Linked DNA regions of Arabidopsis thaliana. The protein of the gene in region 1 interacts with the protein of each later gene in a pairwise test. Each region holds a gene or a part of one and is shown in the gene's direction. Other genes may lie near its edges.

Region 1 (8,288 bases):
TATATAAACCAATCAACCATGTGCTTGTCGTCATTTCTTTTGTTTATTAATTGTGTTTATAAACACATATATAATAAGTATGTGTTTATTCTATTGTTAACACAACGTTTATCATGCAATGCAAGTCTTAGTCTATGTTTAGTTTATTAACGGAAGATAAAATATATTATTACTAATAGAAAAGAGGATACGACCGACGAAGTTTGAATTTTCCAAAATGGCAACCTAACTTAAATAATGCAAAATCATTAAACCTACAATTCTTATATTATCAATAAAACCATATAAAGACTCTCTATAGAAAAAAACTATATAAAGACAATCAAAGACTCTCTCGTTACAATAACCACAAACAACAATACACTTCTCTTGACGCCTATCTCTTTCTCACCACCACCATTACCTTCGTCACTTCTCTCTTCCAAGCAATTTAAACCTTCAACTAATCCAGAAATGCAAATGCTAAGAAACTTAAGCACGAGGACGAGGAGTCGTCGCGGCGGATATGAGCGTGTAAGCGATGATTCCACCTTCAGCCTACTTGGAGCAAAGCTAAGGAGGTCAACGAGCGTTCCATACTATGCTCCATCGATAAGGCTTGGTGGAGATTTTCCTGTGATTTTGGAAAAGCTTCCACGCCAAAAACCAACTAAAACAGTGGTGACAAGCAAATTAAGCCATCCAATCTTCAGTTTATTTGATGGTTATCGCCGCCATAACAAGAAGAAAGCGACGGCTAAACCGGAGTTCTCTAGATACCATGAATACCTTAAAGAAAGTGGAATGTGGGATTTGAGATCTAATAGTCCGGTCATCTACTTTAAGTAGATGTATATAACACCATATATGTTATGATTTGTGTTCATTTATTATATTATTTGTGACAATTCTTAGTGATCCGATTGATCGATCTATAAGAGCTATTTTCTTTTTCTCCCCCTTGTAATTTTTTAATTGATCTATAAATTTAAAATTTCAAAGAAAAATAACATTGGTTATAGAACTACTTTGTTTATAATGTATGGAAGTTTGTTTTAAATTTTTAGCACTTACAACTATTTTTAGAAAAGTTCAGTCGTCATTTAGTATTTTTACGGAGTATTCATTGAATGAAAGAAATTTTGGTCCACATCTATATATATTTGGGACAAAGAAGTCCACATGATTTCTTTTAACCAAATTTTTCGTGTCAAAGTTCATGTTTTGCTTAGAGTTGAGTTACAATCATATGGTTACGTGATACACTAATATATAACCACATCAACCATGTGCTTTTTTGGCCATCTTTTTGTTTATCGGTTATAACATACAGGTTATGTAACGTAATAATTAGTCTTTTGTTTTTTGGTCAACAGTCTTGTGTTATTCTATTGTTAACACAACGTTTATCATGTACTAATGCAAGTCCTAGTCTTTGTTAATTTTTTTAAAACGGGACGAAAGTTTGAATTTTTCATATCGGCAACTTAACTAAATAATGCAAAGTCATTATAGTATATTATATCAACAAAACTACAGTATATTAAGACAATCGAACTCTCTCTCTACAATAACCACAAACAACAACACTTCTCTTGGCGATATCTTTCGCATCAACATCATTAATTTTCAACTTTGATCGCCACCAAAAAGAACAATAACCCAATAATGCAATTGCTAAGAACCCTAACCACAAGAACAAGGAGCCGTCGCAGTGGATACGAGTGTGTAACCAAGCATTCCAACTTTAGCTTACTCGGAGCAAAGCTAAGGAGCTCACGACCGTTCCTTACTATGCTCCATATCGATAGGCTTGGTGGAGACTTTCCTGCGATTTTGGAAAAGCTTCCACGCCAAAAACCAAATAAGACAGTGGTGACAAGCAAATTGAGCCATCCAATCTTCACTCATGTTATTTACATATATATGTTATTTATAAAAATTTACATCGATTCAGTTAGCCTGATAAAGTAATCATTTCACTGTTTTTATTTTATTTTAATCATTTTGATGTATTTTTCTAATTTTTGAGTAAATAATTCATCTTAAGTTTTTTAATTATTATAAATAGTTATATTATTTAACGCTTATTTACGATTACTTATTTTATAAAGAAATAAAAAATAATAATTATTTTCTTATTTAAATAGACAGAAAACTAATGTTTATTTGGTACTTTATATAGTCGTTAAATGAACTGTAAATTCAACTAATATTCACGAAATCTATATATATATATTAATATATATATATATATATATATAATAAGTTATAACATCATATTATATAATCTTTGTAATATAAAAAAAATTACTTAAGAAAATAAATAACATAATAACAGATTAACATTAGAGTGTCTTTGGCCTTAAGTCAGATTAAGTTTCTCATTAGTGACATATCAACGTAAGAGAACGTCCTTCATCTATTATATATTGGTGTATCTAGCAAAATTCACAAGTAAGTCAATTAGTATATCAACCAAAAACATTGGAGTGTCTTTTACTTAGTCGAATTAAGTTTCTCATCCATGGCCTTATTTTTCTTAAGTTGGTAAAAAGCTTTGGATTGTTTTTTTCTTAGTTGGATTACAACTTACAAGCACACATGAAAAATAAAGGGTGAAGAATAAAGTTTTTCAGGAGGAATATTTCTTAAATAATAAAAATAAGGGAACTTAGGAATAAGGAATAATAGAAATGGAGATGAGACGAGCGAGTGGTTTCTTAATCAGGGCCATGCAGCAGAAGCAGAAGCAGGAGCAGCACATGCTCCATTTCTCTAACTCATCCACCTTTATCAACATTGATTCTCTAAGATCATCCATCAATATAGATATGTCTTTTTCATGTTTACAATATCTGCGTGGGAATATCGTGTTCTCTCCTGATATTTTTTCTAGTCCGGATGATACTGACACATGTGACATATCTAAATATGCTCTTTAAAAAAAAACTTAAATCTATGGTTTCGTTTCTATCTACCGACGATAAAGATTTTCGAGAATATTATATCATCTTAGCATCTATGGACTATTGTCCGTCTAGATTAAATGGGAGCTGTAATTGTTTATTCTTCAAATATAAAAATATTTCATGTATGCTTTTTTTCAAATTAACATTTAGATTTCATGATTTTTATATAATTAACTTCTACTTTAAACATTCCGCAATTCTCCTAGAAAAAAGTTACAGCACTAATCTAAGGGAACATAAATCAGTACCCTTGATATTCGGTTTAACTGTGTATGTTCTACTCTGATTCTCTATTAGATGTTACATACTCTTTAATTAAACTTCATAGTAGATAATGATATACAAAAAGTCTTATGGTCTCCTTCCACTGGGTATAAAACTATATATATTCTAAATCAACTTATTATATTTTCGTTTGGATCTTTAATAAAATCTTCTCTTTATAGCAATGTGCACTGGATAATGCGGTTGCGGCCACTTTATTGGTGATGACCAATTAAGCCATAAAACCAGGACAATTTATATTCTTTTGATTTGATTATATACATCATGCATAAACTATAGTGCCACATTTCTTTAGAAATGCATTTAAAACATTTGATACCTTCGCATTATGTCAAGACTAAGACTAACGCTTTTTAATAAATTATAATTACAAGAAGCTTTAATTATGAAAGTTATTACTATATGTTATCCACAGAATTAGCTAAGAGCGGAAATTAGTATGTGTTGAGTCATATTTTCTACATGTAAATGACTTTGCAACATAAAAATAAATATCACAACTCTTTTTTTTGGAGGTAAAGAAGAGATCATAACTTATTACAAAGTGAAGTGATTCCAAAGGCATATCTTCCGTTCTGTCTAATCTTATTCTTTGTTTTAAACCCCTCCATGCACTCCTCTTGTTTATATATTTATTGCTTCTTCTCTAAGTTTGTTGAGTCCTAATCATCTCTCTATCTAGCAACGTATAAATATAAAGAGAGAGAGCAGAGAAATGGGTTTCGGCTCCTTCATATCTACCATCACTTACTGTTTGTTCTTTCGCTATCCACATAAGAAGCCAAAGTTCAAAAGTGTGAGCCACCTCAACCATTACCACACCATGCCAATGGCTCGTCCACTTTCTTTACAGGTATTCTCTTTCCTTTTTATGTATCTATATAGTATAATCGACCATAATTTTCATGTATCTATGTAGTTTTAGTCTCAAATTGACTCTATGATCATGATATTAGTTTTTCATTAAAATAGAATAAATTTTGGTAACAATTATCTTTCAAACCGTTATTATTCTGATACATGCCTAATTGAACGAAGAGTGCAAATGATTTTTGTTTTTAGAGAAAGGTATGACTTTGTTAGGTTTGTGATGATGGTAGCTAGAGCGAATTAAGTTGCTTTTTTTTTTTAGCTAAACATAAAGATCAAAGTTCAAACTATAGTTAGCTGATCTCCTCTAATTTTGTAAATAAGTTGGCAAAACAGATTCTCGATCGCAAAAAGAATATTAAAGTACTCATTGTGCTCATTTTTTTTTTTCTCTTTTGTTAGTTAAAAAATGTCTTTTCAATTTTTATTGATTCGTTTAGGGGAATCGGACAAAACTGAAACGGAATGTCATAAGTTTGTCTCACTAGTGGATGTTACTATATGTGATTATAATATCCTTTGGCTGATTCAGCAGAGAGTTGGTCATTTAAATAATTATTCTTCTAATTAATTACCTTTTTCTTTATGGACATATATCACATATTAATACTAATTGTTTTTGAAGCAGTCATATTAGTTCTAATTAGTTTGTAATATATGAATGGTGCTAATTAACAGACGATAGACCTGAAAGTAAGGATGTGTTGCAGTGGATGTGAGAGGGTTGTCAAGCATGCCATTTACAAGCTGAGAGGTAATGTTATAATTCAGAGTGTTTTCGAAAATAACTAATTTCTTTTCTTCCATAAAATATTTTCGTTAAATTAACGAATATTAAATTTTATATTATAAATTATGGTTATAGAATAATAACTTTATATTTTTCATAAAAAATTGTAATATGTTTTTTGTTTTGCTAAAACACTCCTATATAGAAAAGGGTAATATTGTGAATATATCAAACTAGTAACTAAACGGGCGTTGTTTTGGTGGTGAAGGGGTGGACTCGGTGGAGGTGAACCTAGAGATGGAGAGAGTAACGGTGGTTGGGTACGTAGAGAGGAAGAAGGTGCTCAAGGCGGTGAGAAGAGCCGGTAAACGAGCCGAGTTCTGGCCCTACCCGGACATGCCTCGCTACTTCACTTCCTCTGACCATTACTTCAAAGATACCACCCGCGAGTTTAGGGAGAGCTACAACTACTATCGCCATGGCTACAACCTTAGTGACCGTCACGGTAACATTCACGTCACCAACCGTGGTGACGACAAAATGAGCAACTTTTTCAACGACGACAACGTCCACGCATGTAGCCTTATGTAATTTCCTCACTTCTTTTTAGGTATCTATGTGTTTATATTTGTTGTATCATTTATAGGGTTGATTGAATAGCTTTTATGCATAAGCGTAAGTGAGACAAGTAAAAAGGAACACAATGCTTTATTAGTCTTGGGCATTCGTTTTTTTTAGGTTCGGTTTATCTGTTATTCGGTTATCCAAAAATATTACCGGCTGAACCGTAAAACAATTCTGTTCGGTTCGGTTTGGAATTAGTAAACTGTACATGGTATCAAAGTTTGGTCCTTTTCCTATAAAACTATACATAAACATGCTATAAGCCAGATGGTATATACTAAATTTGTGGCCACTGTTGAAATTGCTAATGGTCTAATGAGATAATATGCATTGTTTGTTTATGACCGATCCTCTTTCATTTTACATGAAAATGTCCATAGTTCAACCATTTGTTTTTGCCTCTAGGCCTCTGAAACAGAAAAAATCCGAACAAACAACGTCTATCTTGAACAAACCGAACCTATCGCAATCTGTCTCTCTGTTTGTCTATCTTGCATTCTCTTACGATCAGATTGTGTTGAATGAAGCTTTGAAAATTGAAAGCTTCAAACTTCTTCTATTGTCTATAGTGCATATGGGGAAAAAAAATGCTTGGGCTCTTGTGTTTTATTTTGGGCCTGAACGAACAACATACACTAATAATACCACCGCCCCACTAAGAGAGAGGCAAATTTTCAATACTATTATTCTAGAATGATACACCATTTTATATCAAAAATCTAGATTCTCTTCTTTCTTTTTTTAATAAAGTTTAAATAAACCTAACATGTTTTTTCATATATTTTTTGTTAAAAATGATTTTTTCATATTGATCTCTTTTTTCTTAATTGAAGAAATCGGATGGTCGAATCTTAGAGCATCATTATTGGTAAGTTCTTAGATTAGTTCTTAAAATTTTTTTTTGTGATTGATTATTAAGAACGCCTCACTTTAACTCTTATATAAGAGTTAAAGTGAGGCGTTCTTATCCTAAGAAATAATTTAAAAGCTTACCAATAAAGATGCTCTTAGTACACTAAAGACGATAAAAATGATTCGTCAAAAAGGTTTTGATTGGAAAACACTGAAATGTAAAGAAATGTAAATAATTAATATTCCACTCGTTTTTTTTAACAAAGTAAACTAAATTATCCATTTTGAAAATAAAGATATTCCAAAAGAGTAAAATAACAAAAATAATATTTTGAGTCGATGTTATTTGACGTATTCGTCGAATATGTTCTTCATCGAACGGAACAAATCAAACAAAAAAAGAAGCAAGTGGATCCGTCACGTGTCACTTTACTATTGACCTCTGACGTGTACACGGACGTCAAGTAATTTCCTTGCACCGCACGCTTCCTTCCTCTGCAAGTCTCTTACTTTTTTTCGCTTCCCTCAAAATGTCTCTTATTAATTTTCTATCCTTAAATGTGAAACAGACAAAAGTGTTTGCCATGTGCTTCTATAAAGCCTATCTTCTATTTCTCACATTTTTAACTCATCACTTCTAAAACCTTTTCTCAAATCTCTCTCACTCTCTTTCACCGGAATAAAATTCTCTAGGTCATCGGAAATTTTTTACTTCAGCCGACAATGTTTCCTTCATCAGATTTCTCTTTCTCACCGTCGTCGCTGTTCTCAGCGTACGCATCTTTAACCGGATTCTTGATGCTCTTTAGATCGATGCTCCATGATTTCGTACCGGAGAAGCTTCGATCTTACTTCTCCAGCTTACTCGACCGGTTTTTCACTCCGAAATCAAAGTATCTCACTGTGATCATCGACGAGAACTTCGGATTGAACCGGAATCAAGTCTTCGACGCGGCGGAGATGTATCTCAGGAGCAAGATCGGACCGGAAACAGAGCGGTTGCGAGTTGGTAAGATCCCAAAACAGAAGCATTTCACAATCTCTATCGAAAGAGGCGAAGAGATCCTCGATACTTTCGAGGAGTCGGAGGTGAAATGGAGTTATGTTCAATCGGAGAACGAGAAAGGAGATAAAGTGAAACGTTACTACGAGCTCACATTCGAGAAGAAGCTTAGAGACAAAGTCTTGAACTCTTATTTAACCCACGTTGTAGCCGAATCCGAGGAGATCAAGAGGAATCTGAGAGTGGTGAAGCTTTATAGCAGAGATGTGTATGCTAGTGATGATGATGATGGAATGGCTGGTGGGAATTGGGGATGTATCAATCTCGAGCATCCGTCTACGTTCGATACGTTGGCGATGGATCCGAATGCGAAGAAGAAGATCATCGATGATTTGGAGAGGTTTTTGAAGAGGAAGGAGTTTTACAAAAGAGTTGGTAAAGCTTGGAAACGAGGTTACTTGTTGTATGGGCCACCAGGAACTGGTAAATCTAGTTTGATTGCTGCGATGGCGAATTATCTTAAGTTTGATGTGTTTGATCTTGAGCTTAGTAGTATTTATGACAATGGTGAGTTGAAGAGGGTTTTGTTATCTACGACGAATCGTTCGATTTTGGTTATTGAGGATATTGATTGTAATGCTGAAGTGAGAGATAGGGAAGCTGAGAATCAAGAAGATGAACAAATTAAGGGAAAGGTGAGATATCTTTTGGATTTGAGTTTGAGAGAATCTATTGGTTTTTAGTTCTGATTATGATATTGTCTTTGAGCAGGTGACTCTATCAGGGATTCTGAATTTCATTGATGGTTTATGGTCGAGTTTCGGAGATGAGAGAATCATTGTGTTCACGACGAATCACAAAGAACGGCTTGATCCTGCTCTGCTACGTCCTGGAAGAATGGATGTGCATATCAACATGTCTTATTGTACAGGTTTAGGATTTAGGACATTGGTCTCTAACTACCTTGGTTTAG
Region 2 (8,011 bases), on another chromosome or scaffold:
GTTATGTAAACAAATGAAAACATGAGGACCCTCCGGGCGTGTATAGTTCACACTTGACAAATAGGGGTTTTGGAGTTAGGCCCTTCCATCCTAATCGCGCTTCCGTCGCCGACGCCATTTTACTCGCCGTCGTCATCTCCGGCCACGCTTGTCATCGTTCGCAATTAATCGAAATCGAAATTTTCCGGTAAGTATCCTCCTTTCTTATTACCGTATCATTCGAGAGTTGGAATCGGATCGGAAATGTAATTGGTTTTGAGGTCAATAGGTTAATACGTTTGTGACAATGGTGGAGTTTCGAGTGTGAATGAAAAAACTCCATTTGCTCGAGAAGATTTGATGAAATGGTTTGTATAGTATTGATTTGATTCTACTTGAATGATTAATGTTTGAATTGCTCTTTGTTGCTTGCAGATTCCTGAAAAAAATGAATTTCTTAAACTCAGCAGCATCCATTTGCAGAAGAGTTAGTTTGAGGGAACTGATCACTGAGGTTCCTGCTTATAGTGGCAGTAGCATTTCCGGTATAGATTTGCGCTTTTCAAAATCTATATTTTGATGATCTTAACTAGTTAACTCATTTGTGTAATTGTTGCTGTTGTTCTTGTTTTGGGGATGTTAAAGATGGTTCTTCAAGTGGCTTGAGTTTGGTCTTCAAGCGTTGGGCTACTAAGAAAACTGCTGGTTCTACAAAGAACGGTCGTGACTCTAATCCCAAGTTTCTCGGTGTTAAGAAATTCGGAGGAGAGGTAAGAAAATAAATAACAAGCGAGATAAGATTTTGATAATCAAATCAGTCTTGGTCTGTGTGAAGAAAATAATGTTTGCCTGTGTGTGTGTGTGATTTTGCAGAGTGTGATACCAGGAAACATCATAGTTCGTCAACGGGGAACTCGGTTTCATCCTGGAGACTATGTGGGGATTGGTAAGGACCATACTCTGTTTGCATTGAAGGAAGGACGAGTCAGGTTCGAGAAAAGCAAGATTACAGGACGCAAATGGATTCATGTTGATCCAACAGGTGGTCATGTTCTTCACCCTATCTACACAAAAGCTGCAGCTGCTCAATCGACTAAGTTGAAGACAGCTTCATAGTCGTGAATACTGATTGCAACAATCTAAACGTGGTTTTCATTTCCTTTAGATCATGTGATCTCTCGAGTAAAAGATGATGCTATCTTAGAGCAGAACCACTCAATTCAATAACATCTGCTGTTTTGTTTCCCTCTAGTCTTTGTCTGGATTTTGATGAAGGGCTTTGTTTGGATTCAACAAATCAAGTTTTATTCGGAAATAGATGTTAATCAAGTCTGAGTTTCTCTCATATGTGTTACGCAAAACAGACAAGTAACAGTCTGAGATAATGTTTTCCCGGCCCGTTATAAACTCATCGAATAATGGGCCAACATTCTAAGCCTCAGGCTCTGGCCCGTCAACGCGGCTAGATCCGTTCATTGAATCAGAAACATATTTATCCTATCGGGTTTAAAATTTCAATTAAAATTTCAAACATAAATTTCTCTCATATTATCATATATGGACGAACCAGCTTTGTTTTTGGCATAATGTGAAATCAAGAGCCAACTTGTTTTAGCCATTAAAGTTTCCTCAAATACTTCTCAAGTTGCCATGCACATCAATATTTAGTTTTTGAATTATTATTTTCTTGTAATTTTACACATTCCTATTCAAAAACAATACAATTAAAATAAAATCATTTCGTTTATAACACAAAAAAAGGAAGAAGAAGATGTCATTGTTTTTTTCTTTATTCACAAATCTTAAGAACAGTCCATATTAATGCATACTAACCACCCATGCGATACATTCATCGTATATGATAAATCCTTCCAATTGCATTTGCACACATACATAAAGTAGGATATGTGTATATATAAAACATATACAGGCATAACATATAATAGATTTTAGAAAGAAAGAAAAAATCACAGATAGATCATCAAATAATTGCGTCAGATAATATATCCTGAAAAAAAAAAACTAATTAATATTATCCTTGTTATGGGCATAAAGCTTATTTAATGTCGGTTTGCCTTATTCTTCCTAACTAAAGAGTAAAAAGCCTTATAACTATTTCTAAAACAATAATATATGTGTTATATTATTTTGTTGTCTATGAAATCTATAGATAATCGTAGTGCGGTAACAATAAGACCAATCAACAATCAAGTTATATCTAAATGCTTGAAATGTTGATACGGTGGTTCCCTATTTTGGCTATGGTAAGTCGTGCAAGTCGTAATATATACCTACATTAATTAAAGTATAATGTTAAAGTTCAATGTATTTGAGAAGAAGAGAATTGTCTTCCATAACAGACGAACATGGTTTGATTAGGTAGCGCCATGTTGCAAGATATGTACGCGTGTTAGCTGTTTTTGGTATTTAGACAATTTCATATCATCATTAGTCAAAAGAAAGAAAAAGTTTTAAGAGTTGAGATTTACAATTACGTTACTACTATAAGAAAACAGACGACATTTTAGAAACCCGTTAAAATTCAAAATTTTGACGGAGAATTCAACCGTTGGATTTAGAGCATCAAAATTAAAACTTCCATAAAATTTGTCTGAATTTTTTGATAAAATTTATCGGTCATATTTTAGCAAATCTCCTAAAAAAATTGGTATACTATCAATTATTTATGGAGTTTTTGCTTTGAATTGTTAGTTTATCACTTATTATTAGTAATGGATTTGCAAACGATCTTAGGTTTGGTCTACACCTCTCTGATTAAAGACTTTTTTATACAGCTTTAAAGAAGTTTGGAGTAAACGGCATCGTTCTTCACCACTGCTCGTGTCAGCTTTTTTAGTTGTGGTCTCCTTTTCTTAAGGCCACTTTAACCGTCAACATGTATAGTCAATAAACATTTTTGAGTTAATTAGTGGAGTAGTTGAGAAGTAAATAAATTAAGCTAGTCATAGTTTTTTTTGCAAAAATTTGGTAGTAGAGTAACTTTTAAGATTGTAAGTTGATAGTTTTTTCGACATAAGATTGAAGACAAACCATGAACTATAAAACTAGGGAAGGTCGAGATTTTAACATTTTTGGATAAACATTGCTTTTGATCAACAATACGAAATATTAACTTTTGTCTTTAGTTAACATCATTGAATCAACAACCCGAATCAACCTTAATTATATTCATGCTTTACTTCCACACGAAATTTTCAGCTTAAATAAGGAGAAAAAAAAATAAAAAAAAATAACGAGAAATAATAATAATTGAAATTTGAAAGGTAGCAAAAAAGATTAATATTGATATAAAATTGGAGTATATATTATTAAAGTTGTCAACGTCATGGAGATACAAATTTAGCAAAAAGAAAAAGACATGACTCACATTAGATGCTGTTCTATGAACTCTATTTATTAGCCTATATTTATTACACTTATCTTTTTTCATTAACCCTAGATGGGGTCAACAAACCATGGTTAAAAAAAAATATTCAACCAAAAAAAAAAAAACACATAATGATTATGAATCTCAACCACACAACTTGGATTTCTCATTATCAACAGTCTTCAACTTCTCATCTCTTTCTTCCTCCATGAGAGACTTGAGTAAATAATACATAGTTTTAAATTTCCCCTTTTCTAATCTTATCTCTCCCAAATACATAAACCCATCCCAAAGATTTCGAGTTTACAATTTAAAAACAGTTTTGTTTAGTGCAATCTTTACCTTATCTTTACTTCTATCATCTATTCTTCTTCTTCCTCCATCTCTAGAAAATTATAATACTTCTTGTTTCTTAAATCTTATTTGTATTACAATAACCAAAACCCAAGTTTACAAAACATTTCTTCTTCTTGTTTTTCGAAACCCTAAATGTTTTGAGTTGTCATGGATGTAATAGCTACTACAACTACTATAGTATCCGACTTGGATTCACGACAACCCGAAATCGAAGCTCCGATCCGGATCCAGCCCGCGAAGCCTATTTCTTTCTCAAACGGCAAACGCTGCCACCACCATCATCTTGCATCTGAAGCGGTTGCGGTTGCGACTTATAAAGAATGTCTAAAGAATCACGCAGCAGGTATCGGCGGTCACGCTTTAGACGGATGCGGCGAGTTTATGCCGTCACCGTCGTTTAACTCCAATGACCCCGCTTCACTAACGTGCGCTGCTTGTGGTTGCCACCGTAACTTCCACCGCCGTGAGGAGGATCCATCTTCTCTCTCTGCCATCGTCCCTGCGATCGAATTTCGACCTCACAACCGTCACCAGCTTCCTCCACCGCCTCCTCCTCATCTGGCGGGGATTCGTAGTCCAGACGACGATGATTCAGCTTCTCCACCGCCGATCTCGTCTTCTTACATGCTTCTCGCACTCTCTGGAGGAAGAGGAGGAGCTAACACGGCGGTTCCAATGTCTAGGAAACGTTTTAGGACGAAGTTTAGTCAGTATCAGAAGGAGAAGATGTTCGAGTTCTCGGAGAGAGTTGGGTGGAGGATGCCGAAAGCTGATGACGTGGTGGTTAAGGAGTTTTGTCGGGAGATTGGAGTTGATAAAAGCGTTTTCAAAGTGTGGATGCATAACAACAAGATTTCAGGACGCAGCGGCGCTAGAAGAGCTAACGGCGGAGTAGTAGTAGGAGGAGTAGGAGATAGTCGTCAGAGTGTTGTTCCGACAAATGGGTCGTTTTCTTCGACGTGAGGAAAAGAATGGAAAGCGTTGAAAAAGCGTCGTCGTTTTAGAGGCTAATTCTTTTTTGGTTTTTCTTCTCTGTGTTTTGAAGATTTTTTATTTTTAGTCAACGGGTCAAAATCTTTTTTCTATTCCACTTTGTTTTGTTATGTCTTGTAGTTTGTACTCTTGTTAGTAGTTTATCTTTGTTAGAGAGGTGATTTGAGTTGTATCTTTCGACCAAATGTGAGAAGAAAGATAAATGAGTAACCTCCTAAAACCGAATAACAAAGTCAATTAATCCAATTGTTTTCTAAATTCTATATCAGTTTGCTTTTTTATTTTTACTTTTTTTCTTTATATAGAAATTTATGAAAGAAATGAGGGAATTTGTTGCAATTATGTGACATTACTAGATTTTTAACCCGCGGTATACCGCAAGGACAATTTTTTTTTTTTTAAGTTAGTATATATAAAAGTTTACAAATTGTATCTATCTATAAAATATTTTTATTTTATAGTTTACAATTGTTATTAAGTAAAAAAAACTATTTATTTTATTAATGTTGATCTTATTTATGATATGTTTATAAATCATTGTCTAAATATTTTGTAATTTTGTAATAATTAACTGCTATAAAATATCTATGTGGGTTGATGCGTATAATGGAATTGTTATAGTCATGCAAAAAAAGCAATATCAAAAATGATAATTTTGTAATTTTTAAATGATGTTAAATATTTTAGAAGTTTTATTTTAGTAACTAATCGTGTAGTTATTGTAGAGAGATTTTGAGAAGATAGTTAAATGTCAAATATTTAATTCGAAAATTTACTTTCTAATTATCAAAAATAATTATTAAATGCCAGTGACAACCACTGTAAATAAGTCTCAACTTGAAGATTTATTTCATATAGTGGCTGCAAAAATGTATATGTAGATAACTCAAAAACATGAAAACACAGTTACTATTTTGTGTGTTTATTTTCGATGCTAGTAGTTAACACCTGTTTGTTTATTTGTTGAAATGGTAAAAGATACAACTAAGAGTTGGTAAGATTAGGCACTACGTTAGGTTAATATGATTGGAGACACCACTCACTTATAATATATTCTTGCTGTTCTATTAAGGCAAGACTGGTAAAACATCTCAACAAAATATTGCAATTATTTGTTTTTACGATATAATCTTTTTTTTTTCATCAACTTTTTTAATGATATAATCTAAATGCCAAAAGACATGTAAAATGACATTTTTTTTTTTGTTCAAATGACATTTCTAGGTACCACTATTCAGTGCATAAAAATAATTTTATGATTAAGAAAATAAATTCGAGCCCAAGCGCAAGACTCAAAAATAAATCGACATCTCAAAACGGGCCCAATATAAAGCCATAATTCGTAAAGGCCCAATATAAAGCCTTAATTCGTAAAGGCCCAATAAAGAAAGTGAGAGTGTAGCGTTAGGGTTTTAAGAAATCCTATAAATTAGTTCATTCGTCTCTTTCGTTCCTCTCTGCGTGCCCTAGTTATTCAGATCGCCGAATTTGCAGTAAGGAGACGAAAATATGGTGCACGTTTGCTACTACCGCAACTGTAAGCTTCTTCTCTCCTTTTCGTCGTTTATATCACAGCTCATTTTCGATTCGATCTACGTAGTGATTTCTCTCAATATCAAATGATAGATTAGGGATTATCTGAGGTTTTTGATTGTGTTATATATATAGATTGTGAATCTGGGTTGTTGTAACTTTTGAGGTTTTAGTTTCTGAAATGAATCAATCTTAGATACGAGCCTCAAAGATCTAACCTTTATGCTGATAATTTTGTATGAATGTGTGTGTTTGTTGTTGAATAGATGGAAAGACCTTCAAGGGACCACGTCGTCCTTACGAGAAGGAGCGTCTTGATTCTGAATTGAAGCTGGTTGGTGAGTATGGTCTGCGTAACAAGCGTGAGCTCTGGAGAGTGCAGTACTCTCTTAGCCGTATCCGTAATGCTGCTAGAGATCTTTTGACTCTTGATGAGAAGAGTCCAAGAAGGATCTTTGAAGGTGAGGCTTTGCTCCGTAGGATGAACCGTTACGGGCTTCTTGATGAGAGCCAGAACAAGCTCGATTACGTCTTGGCTTTGACTGTTGAGAACTTTCTTGAGCGTCGTCTTCAGACTATTGTGTTCAAGTCTGGTATGGCTAAGTCTATCCATCACTCTCGTGTCCTCATCAGGCAGAGGCATATCAGGTATTGCATCTCTTCGATTTATTTGTGCTTGTGTATGAATTATCTTTGTTATATCAATTGATAGGATCTGAAATGAAATTAACATTTTCTCTGTTTCCATTTCATGATTATCTTTGAATGATTCGGCTTTGTGTTACACTTCTTTAAACACTGTCTCTTTGGTCTAACAGATTGTAGTCTTTCATGAGTTTGTACTGTCTTTTGGTTTGATCTTTCTTCAAACGTTTTATTGGTTGCTCTTAAGTTCACGCAAGTCTTGATAACTTGTGCCTCTTGAGTGGCTTAATATGAAGTGTGTTTTGATATGATCTTAAAAATTGGGTACTCATATTTGTTTCGGGTGTTGTTGTAGGGTTGGAAAGCAATTGGTGAACATTCCATCATTCATGGTGAGACTTGATTCACAGAAGCACATTGACTTTGCCCTCACCAGTCCCTTCGGTGGTGGCCGTCCAGGAAGAGTGAAGAGAAGGAACGAGAAGTCTGCCTCCAAGAAAGCCTCAGGTGGCGGTGATGCAGACGGTGATGACGAAGAGTAAATCTGAAGTCGCACCGTTTTAGCTATGAATCAATCTGCTTTTTGATATTTTGTAGTAAGCAACTTTGTTGTTCGTTTTCAGAGGATTGTTTTATGGTTTCTTTCTTTTACTCTCGAGATTGCTAAACCTTTGGGTTATCATCTATTTCTCACAATTATCTTTTAAAGTTTTGCCTTATCTCTCTAGTTATCTTTATATTTATGCTAAAAAAGATAATTATACTAAGCGAAATTGATTGTCTAGTTTCGTATGGCACTTCAATTTTATAGCCTTTGTTACATACATTTGTTAGGTCCAAATTGAAATCTTTGGCCCATAAACTTTGCTGTGTCTGGCCTATTTTCATTATGATTTGCAACTATTGAAATAATATTAGTGATATCACCGTCCGCGATTATACAAATATACTCTCACTGCCATTTGGTTCCCCAACACTCGGTTTTCACACGTGGTACATGCAAACTACGTGGAAACCATCTTACCATGGTAAAACAGTTTTATAAGTACCATTTATATTTTGTTTATACATAAAAGATTCAAGCACGGTCGGCTATTCCGACACGTAAATGAATAT
Region 3 (7,689 bases), on another chromosome or scaffold:
CCAAGTCCCCACTCTATTGTTTGCATTAGTTCGTATAAGTTTTGTTCTTTCTGCAATGCTTTTGACTCCCACCAAAACATGTCCTATGTATATAACATATCTCAAAAGTTTTGATTTTGCTACAACTTCACTATGCAACCTCTATTTTCACACAAATCACATTTGCACTTGAAAGGTAAACAATTCTGTCTTTCTAACAAATATCAAACTTATCATTTGAGTGAAAATGAAAATCTAAGAAATTGGAATTCTAAGGATTCTTCATGAACGTAGCCTTAAGATCAACCTTCAAGAAATTTACAATCACATGAAGATTTTAGTGGAACTAATACCTACATTGTGATGCGATCCAACTAATAATCGGTAGATCAACCTCTCAAAATCGAAGTATTACTTAGGCGCCATGAAAACCAGCGGAATACGAGGACTTACAGTTATTCTCCGAATACATCTTCCGGCGAGTTTAACTCCGCCGCCGGATCAGCAGTTTCCTCATACGGTGGGGAGGAGAATCATTGGCACCTAGCCGCAAGGAACGGCTCGCTACGACGGTTCAGTCGCCGAGGGCCTAACGGTGCTACCAGAGAGCTTAGTTTAGTTGTTAGGCCCAGTTCATAAAAATAACTCTCTTTGGGCCTAGGCCTTTAGATATTTTTTTATCCTGCCCAGCCTTGATGTGTTTGATTTGTGCTCGATGATTAAAGTTAAATCCATCTTTTAACTTTAAGAAAAAATTTGCATAAATTAATAGATTTATCGTTGTCCATCAATAAAATGGATTTATAATTTTACTATACAATTTTAATGATGGAAATATAAAAATAGTTTTTAAAAAAAATATGTATCTTGTTTGAATCTAATGTTAAATTGTATTCAAAAACAAAACAAAAAAACATTGATACATATGAATGTAAATTTTTCTTAAAATAAATTATTAAGAGATTCTATGATCTATCTTCACCTCTTCTTCTTAGTACGCTCAAACGGATTTCATGTTCTTGTCAATCAATTTAACGATTTTCTTCGTGGTCGAAGATTGGTCTCGTGCCTCCTCTCATTTCTTTATCACTAAATAAAGAGTATCGTGTTTTGAAACAGTACTTGGGAATAAATTTTGTTGTGGAATCAAGATCTTTACTCGCAAGCTCTCTCGTGATATCCTTCTATTTTGTCTGAGTTATCAGCTCTTCCCACACCTTTCTCGAATACTGGCATTGAAAAAACAAATGCTCTCTCGTCTCCAACGGATTTTTACAAAATACGCAATTTGTATCCGCATTTTGGTTCCATTTAATCATTCTTTATTATGTTGCAACTTTGCTTTTCACAACCAGTCAAGTGACAACATCATACTTTGGAGTAGCTTTGGAAAAACTAACTTCTTTGTATCCTTGCATCTCCGGTTTAGCTATGCATATTTGTGACCACGTCTCTTTAGAGACAAATTGCTTACGGTAGTTATCGTTTTTTATCTAGTCTTTGTTTCTGTTTATTTTTCTAGTAGTGAATTTTAGCATTTGTTATTTATCTAATTAAGTCTTACTTTGTGTCATTTACCTACTTATTCAATAGGTATATACATAGATAGAAACGTTACGCAAAAATGACCCCATGATCATATGACATTTAAAATTTCGGCTACAAATGACTTTTTCTCCAACCTTAGTGGCCGGTTTGCGGGATGCGCGTGCTATTTCGGTCATTGACAAGATCGTTAGGAGATTGTTCTAATCCGTCTTTATGATTCTAATTGTGATACGAGTAAATAAATTGTTAAATCAAAGTCTCTGTCAACGAATTATTAGTAAAACAATAAATACGTTTATTTAATTATTTTTATTGTATGGTCAAATATCTCCCGATTGTTGTAAATTGGATTCTAATTAAGCGTGATTGGTGACTAGGTTTATGATAAACGACAAAACGTAACACCAACTGTTATTCATTTATTCTCCTCGCAAACAATGCTTTAATTAGTCTCATTTCAGGGATCAGACTCTTAACTATACATTAATGAATAATTTATATGCCTTTCAATAAGATTTTAAGTTAATTAAACGAGTATCCAAAGCTTAACGAAATGAATGTTGATGTCTGATTTGTTTTGTTACTTTAATTCTAAAGAGTAAAGACCTTAGTAATTATAATTAATAACAAAATTAGCCATGCAGTTTGATCTTACCAATAACATTCACATGTAGTAACATTGTAACTTATAAGAAAAGGTTCATCATTTTTTTCATGAATGGATCATCATAAAAGTAACAATAACTAGTCACAAAATGTTCCTTCAATTTTTATTTTTTTGATAGAAACTATATTTGTTGTAAAAACAAACCCTATAAGAATCGATATGGAAAATGGCTAATGAAGATTCAAAATAATTGTGGGGTACTTAGAAGAGGAAGACTTGAAGACATACACCACATAATTGTGACCCAAAAGCTAATCAATAACGTAAGCAAAATGCGAAAGAACACTAAATTTCGGCGCCACACTAATGACAAGAAGTGAGAATAAAAGGTCGGTAAGAGATAAGAGTCTTTCCAAAGGGTGGTTAAGGAATTTAGACATTTAAATTTCATGATTAATTACGAAACATGAAGTTTGGCAATTGTCACAACAAACTCTTCTTTGCTCCACGATTGAGTCAAGTATTAAGTATTCGTGCGAAAGAAGTTCTTTTAGAGGTGTTTTCGGTAATCTACAAAATCTTCTAGTTGTTTAGCACTTTTCCTTTTGGAACGAATTAGTACATTAGCATAAGTCAAATATTTCACTAGAACACGTAATACCTATACTAGTAAGAAATTTTATTGACTTTATTGTTTAGTTAGATTATCGTTATAGGAAAATTTACGATTTTAGACCTCTAGATAAGAAAATGGTCCCTAAACAGAATCAAAATTGAAAAGATTAAAACGTTTTAGTATAAAAATGCAGGGGTGATACAGTGAAATTAACAGAAGTATGGGGTGGTAACGTAAACTCTTAAAAATAAGAAACTGTAATATGTACAGTGGAATATGAAACTGCAGGGCAGCTGTAATTGTCCTTTAGTACGATGCATGTAATGGGCTATTGCCACGTATACACTTTGGACTCAAATCTTCCAACTAATCCCATCCTCTCCTTCGAATATATTCGATTAATTAAAATTTTATGTCACGCTCAGAAATTATTCATCTTTTTTATTTCTTTTACACAACAAGTTACCCACTGGTGAAAGTGAAAACCCATATCTTACAAATGTCCCGTAAAATCATTGCTTTCTGATAAGACCTCAGATTCAATATTTTATACAGGTTCAAAGTGTATAGTCTGTCTATATAACGTATGAATAGATATCAAAACTAGTGACTAAAATATTCAAAAAAATCTCTGTTTCACCAAAACAAGAAAAAAAAAAAGTAAAAAAGAAGTTGTGAATTTTCATTGATATACAGTGAGTGTTTTCTTTCTTTTGCTGTATGTTTTGGACGTTTGTGAGTAAGCACTTATTATTATTTTCCAAGTCCTAATTATATTTCATCACTGCCATGTTCTTTACCGATATAATTACATCATCGTCACATGCACTTACATAATTATCCTTTTTTAATAAATAAAATAAAACTACAAAACCTAATCTTCTCATTAATCACAAAAGCAAAAGATTTAAGTAAACACACTATAAAGACAGAACTAAACAAAAGCTATGGATTTGTCTTCCAAACCACAACAACAACTTCTAAACTCTCTTCCCATCGCCGGAGAACTAACTGTCACCGGAGAAATGGGTGTTTGTTACAAAGAGTGTTTGAAAAACCACGCGGCTAATCTCGGCGGCCATGCTCTCGACGGTTGCGGCGAGTTTATGCCGAGTCCCACGGCTACTTCCACCGATCCTTCTTCTCTCCGTTGCGCTGCTTGTGGCTGCCACCGTAACTTCCACCGCCGTGACCCTTCCGAGAATCTCAACTTCCTCACCGCGCCTCCGATTTCTTCTCCCTCCGGCACTGAGTCGCCGCCGTCTCGTCACGTGTCTTCTCCTGTTCCTTGCTCTTACTACACCTCAGCTCCTCCACATCACGTGATTCTCTCTCTCAGCTCCGGTTTCCCTGGACCGTCAGATCAAGATCCAACGGTGGTTAGGTCAGAGAACAGTTCAAGAGGAGCAATGAGGAAACGAACAAGAACCAAATTCACGCCGGAGCAGAAGATCAAGATGAGAGCCTTCGCAGAGAAAGCTGGTTGGAAAATCAACGGATGTGATGAAAAGTCGGTGAGAGAGTTTTGTAACGAAGTTGGGATTGAGAGAGGAGTTCTTAAAGTGTGGATGCATAACAACAAGTACTCACTTCTCAATGGCAAGATCAGAGAGATCGAACATGGCCTGTGTCTGAACACTCACAGCAATGATGGTGATGGGTCTTCATCTTCTTGAAGAAAGATTCAAGATTCGGGTTAAACCGAATTAGGATACTTTAATTTGGGAAAATATGAGCATTAACCGGTTTAAAATCATATAATAGTGTCTTTTCTCTAACATGTAATCGATCTTGATATAAATATTTATGCGGTTTGATCTTTTCTATTTTCATCACTTTGACAGAGATGTGGTCAGAGATCACAAATGGGTTTGGTAATAAATAAGTTTTTAAATCGGAGGTTGAAACGAATTTTGATAGACCATTTCTAATTATAGTAAGTGCATAAGCGCTAATTGTGATCGTAGAGATCAAAAGATTCGTTTCTTTGTTTACTTTCTGATTATTCAATGTTATCTTCTGTATTATTAGAAATAAATCTCCTGAACTTTAGAGATAGAGTAAGTAAAGTTTGCTTAATGAAGATACGACGACGTGGTTATTACGAATTGCAACAAACTATGGCGTGGCGGAATATAATTAGGTCACTGGGCGGCACATTTTTGTTGTTAATTTATATGATATGATTAAAAGTTATTAAAATGCTGGCTTATCTCTTTCCATTTAGGGATAAGCTTTGGCAACACCAATCTTGCTTATTTATCCTAATTAAGTACAATGCAGATGTTACGATTACTAAAATATCTACTATGTGCAATGATTTGGCTCTTCCCGCACCACTGATATTAAAAATTCGTTTTTTTTCTTTCATTCATCATGTATTAACGAATCATAGCGAATGCTTTATCACGTATAAATGGTCGTAAGTTCAATGCCGGAGACAAAGTATTTTACCATGTATGTACGAAGTAACGAAGCCCAAGCCTTAACAAAAGGCCGGTACGAATATCCATGCCAGATAGATCAATGTATGCAAAAGCTCTATGTAGATACGAGTAACTGCATGCAATGATTAATGATCAATATATGGTACACAAATTGTTTAACATGCATTTGGCGGATAAAATAATTTACATTATAGATCGGTATATGTGTTTATGGTTGGATGATTGAATTTTTTGTATGCTACTAATTAAGATTCCGATTGGACAATATTCCAATACCTAGCTAATATCGATTTTAGATGTTAGTGGTCCGATTAATTGATGATGTAGATATCAAATTCTTATATCAGTGGATCAAAAATATGATACACGAAGACATGTTACATAATGATGAAAAAAGTAGCAACGGATAATCCCCATACCAACAGTATGTAACATGTCTTCGTGTATCACATTTTTTAGATGATATTTCAAAAAAAAAGGTTTTTATTAGTTAGATGTTTTCTTTTGTTGGAATATGCAAAGAGGAAAGCAATGTAAAAAATTCCATTATAGCTAAAGCCCATTGTAGTTTTTGATTTTTGAGACTAGACCCAATAACACACTAAAGGACACTAATCGAACCAAGTATCTTAGGGATCCGTTAAGTCTTTCACCAACCGGAGACTTGGTCAAGTATAAGTATAACCGTTGAAGCATACCATAATCCAAGTCAAAGATCAGAATCCTTCAGTGGGGATCTTGCATCCAAAATCGATATGTATAGTCACGGTGGCAATTTTGAGCCAAGCCAGAGACGAAGCAGCTCAGGAAAACTCATCATGCTTTACTTTGGATTGGTAAGGACACTGATAAGTTGATCACCACATGGAACATCTTTATCATCTATCTAGTGTGTATTTATGTTAGATAAATGATTATCAAGAGAGGTCTTCTTGGGTTGGGAGATGTATAAGGTAGTGATTAAGATGTATATAAACACATTTAAATGAGTCAAATGGTTAAATAAGTCAATTTTTTGTTTGAAGTAAAATAAAATAAATAAGTTTCTTTTATAAAGTAAACAAAATCATTTTACCTTCTTTACAATTTATAAGATAAAACATGCACCAATCACCATTTATTAAATCTAGTTTCCATTTTACCTACATTAAAAGAGGATGGGATACGTCAGCATCAATGTCTGGTCCAAATTTATTGAGACACGTGTAGCCTTGCATCTCTATTGCACGTTGAAAATGAAACGAAAATGATAATTAATTTGCTTAACACCTAAAAGAAAAGGACTAATAAACGATCGCACTCGAAATTAAAAAGGAATTTTCAATTTCAACGTAACACGAGCATCTGCCAAATGCTCTCGTATAATAGTCAATCAATTTTGTTTTTGGACCGTGACTTGGCCATGTTTGGACGGTCGAAGACCAAAATCTCTCACGCGACTATCTACAATTCTACATGTTACCCAAACTCATTAATACACCTATAAGGCTACAAGTGTTCACCAGCAGCTACACATAACATGAAACTGCTGATATTTTTCGTTGGTCGCCCCCCCATAGGCATGTATGTCCGGGCTCGACCGTGACCCGATCATACCTTTACTTGATCTATATCTTCCAACTTTTCTAAATAGTTATGAAACGCTAATTATCTTTACTATTACAACTACTTTTTTTTTGTGATATAACTATAAATATCATTAAAAATGAAAAGTTTAGGGATTACAAAATGTAACACCTATAACTTTTTAAGTCAAAAAACAAGGCTACAAATATTTATGAAGACACCAAAGTGAAATCACCTAATCCAAAGTTGCATTAAATTTCTAAAATGCTTCATTTGTCTTCGAGGACTGATTACAGTTATGATATCTTTATCCATCAGCTCAAAAGTGGTATGGTGAGACGAGACTGTGAGATTGTGAAGAACATTATTCCACTGCTTCCAAATGTGATAAATTGTAGTTTGAGATGTTCGAACTACCCATTTAAATAATAAATAATAAATTCTTTAAAACTACTCAAATCCGAATTTTACTCGTTTAATAAATTATCCTATTTTAATAACAAATTACCATCATCATATCTCTTATTTGCATTTCACAAACATTATTTTTTAATTCTAAAATCTATATACTTTTACCAGCTTGGTATCCGATATTATCCTATTTTTGGCTTGTTCACCCAAATGTACAATCTGCAACTTTAGAAAAGAAATTAGGTTTAAAGATGATATTCATGAAAGAAAATCTCATATGTGACCAAAGAAAACAATTTAAGAAAATCTTAGATTATGACTTTAGAAAGATGATATTGTTTCTTTTCTGACAAAAAACCAAAAGAGATGATTTTATTAAATAACAGTTGAAACTCCAAGAGAAAAAGGGCAAGTGAACCAATGAATGTTTTGAAGCAAAGTGACAAATGGAGAAGAACCCGAAAAGCAATGTAAAGTTTGACTCTTGAGTTCTCCCACGTCGAACCATGTCCGTT

Evidence for each region.
Region 2: the proteins of AT2G18196 (region 1) and HB30 interact in a two-hybrid assay, tested with the Arabidopsis thaliana proteins (one study listed by BioGRID).
Region 3: the proteins of AT2G18196 (region 1) and ZFHD1 interact in a two-hybrid assay, tested with the Arabidopsis thaliana proteins (one study listed by BioGRID).

Annotation. Positions count from the first base shown.
Region 1 is NC_003071.7:7,917,932-7,926,219, reverse strand, and holds AT2G18196 (Heavy metal transport/detoxification superfamily protein), read left to right. Parts: upstream 1-3,626; 5' UTR 3,627-3,951; coding exon 3,952-4,089; exon of another isoform or gene 4,090-4,784; coding exon 4,785-4,860; intron 4,861-5,104; coding exon 5,105-5,427; 3' UTR 5,428-5,780; downstream 5,781-8,288. Other genes in the region: AT2G18210 (uncharacterized protein), read left to right, coding at 454-828; AT2G18200 (uncharacterized protein), read left to right, coding at 1,648-1,953; AT2G18193 (P-loop containing nucleoside triphosphate hydrolases superfamily protein), read left to right, coding at 7,036-8,010, 8,087-8,288. UniProt on the Arabidopsis thaliana protein: Heavy-metal-binding protein.
Region 2 is NC_003076.8:4,934,550-4,942,560, reverse strand, and holds HB30 (homeobox protein 30), read left to right. Parts: upstream 1-3,353; 5' UTR 3,354-3,871; coding exon 3,872-4,687; 3' UTR 4,688-5,096; downstream 5,097-8,011. Other genes in the region: AT5G15220 (Ribosomal protein L27 family protein), read left to right, coding at 428-524, 625-749, 853-1,095; AT5G15200 (Ribosomal protein S4), read left to right, coding at 6,227-6,254, 6,517-6,898, 7,251-7,437. UniProt on the Arabidopsis thaliana protein: Putative transcription factor.
Region 3 is NC_003070.9:26,178,773-26,186,461, forward strand, and holds ZFHD1 (zinc finger homeodomain 1), read left to right. Parts: upstream 1-3,383; 5' UTR 3,384-3,697; coding exon 3,698-4,426; 3' UTR 4,427-4,774; downstream 4,775-7,689. UniProt on the Arabidopsis thaliana protein: Transcription factor involved in the up-regulation of several stress-inducible genes. Acts as a transcriptional activator by interacting with MED25 and NAC proteins. Involved in increased drought tolerance.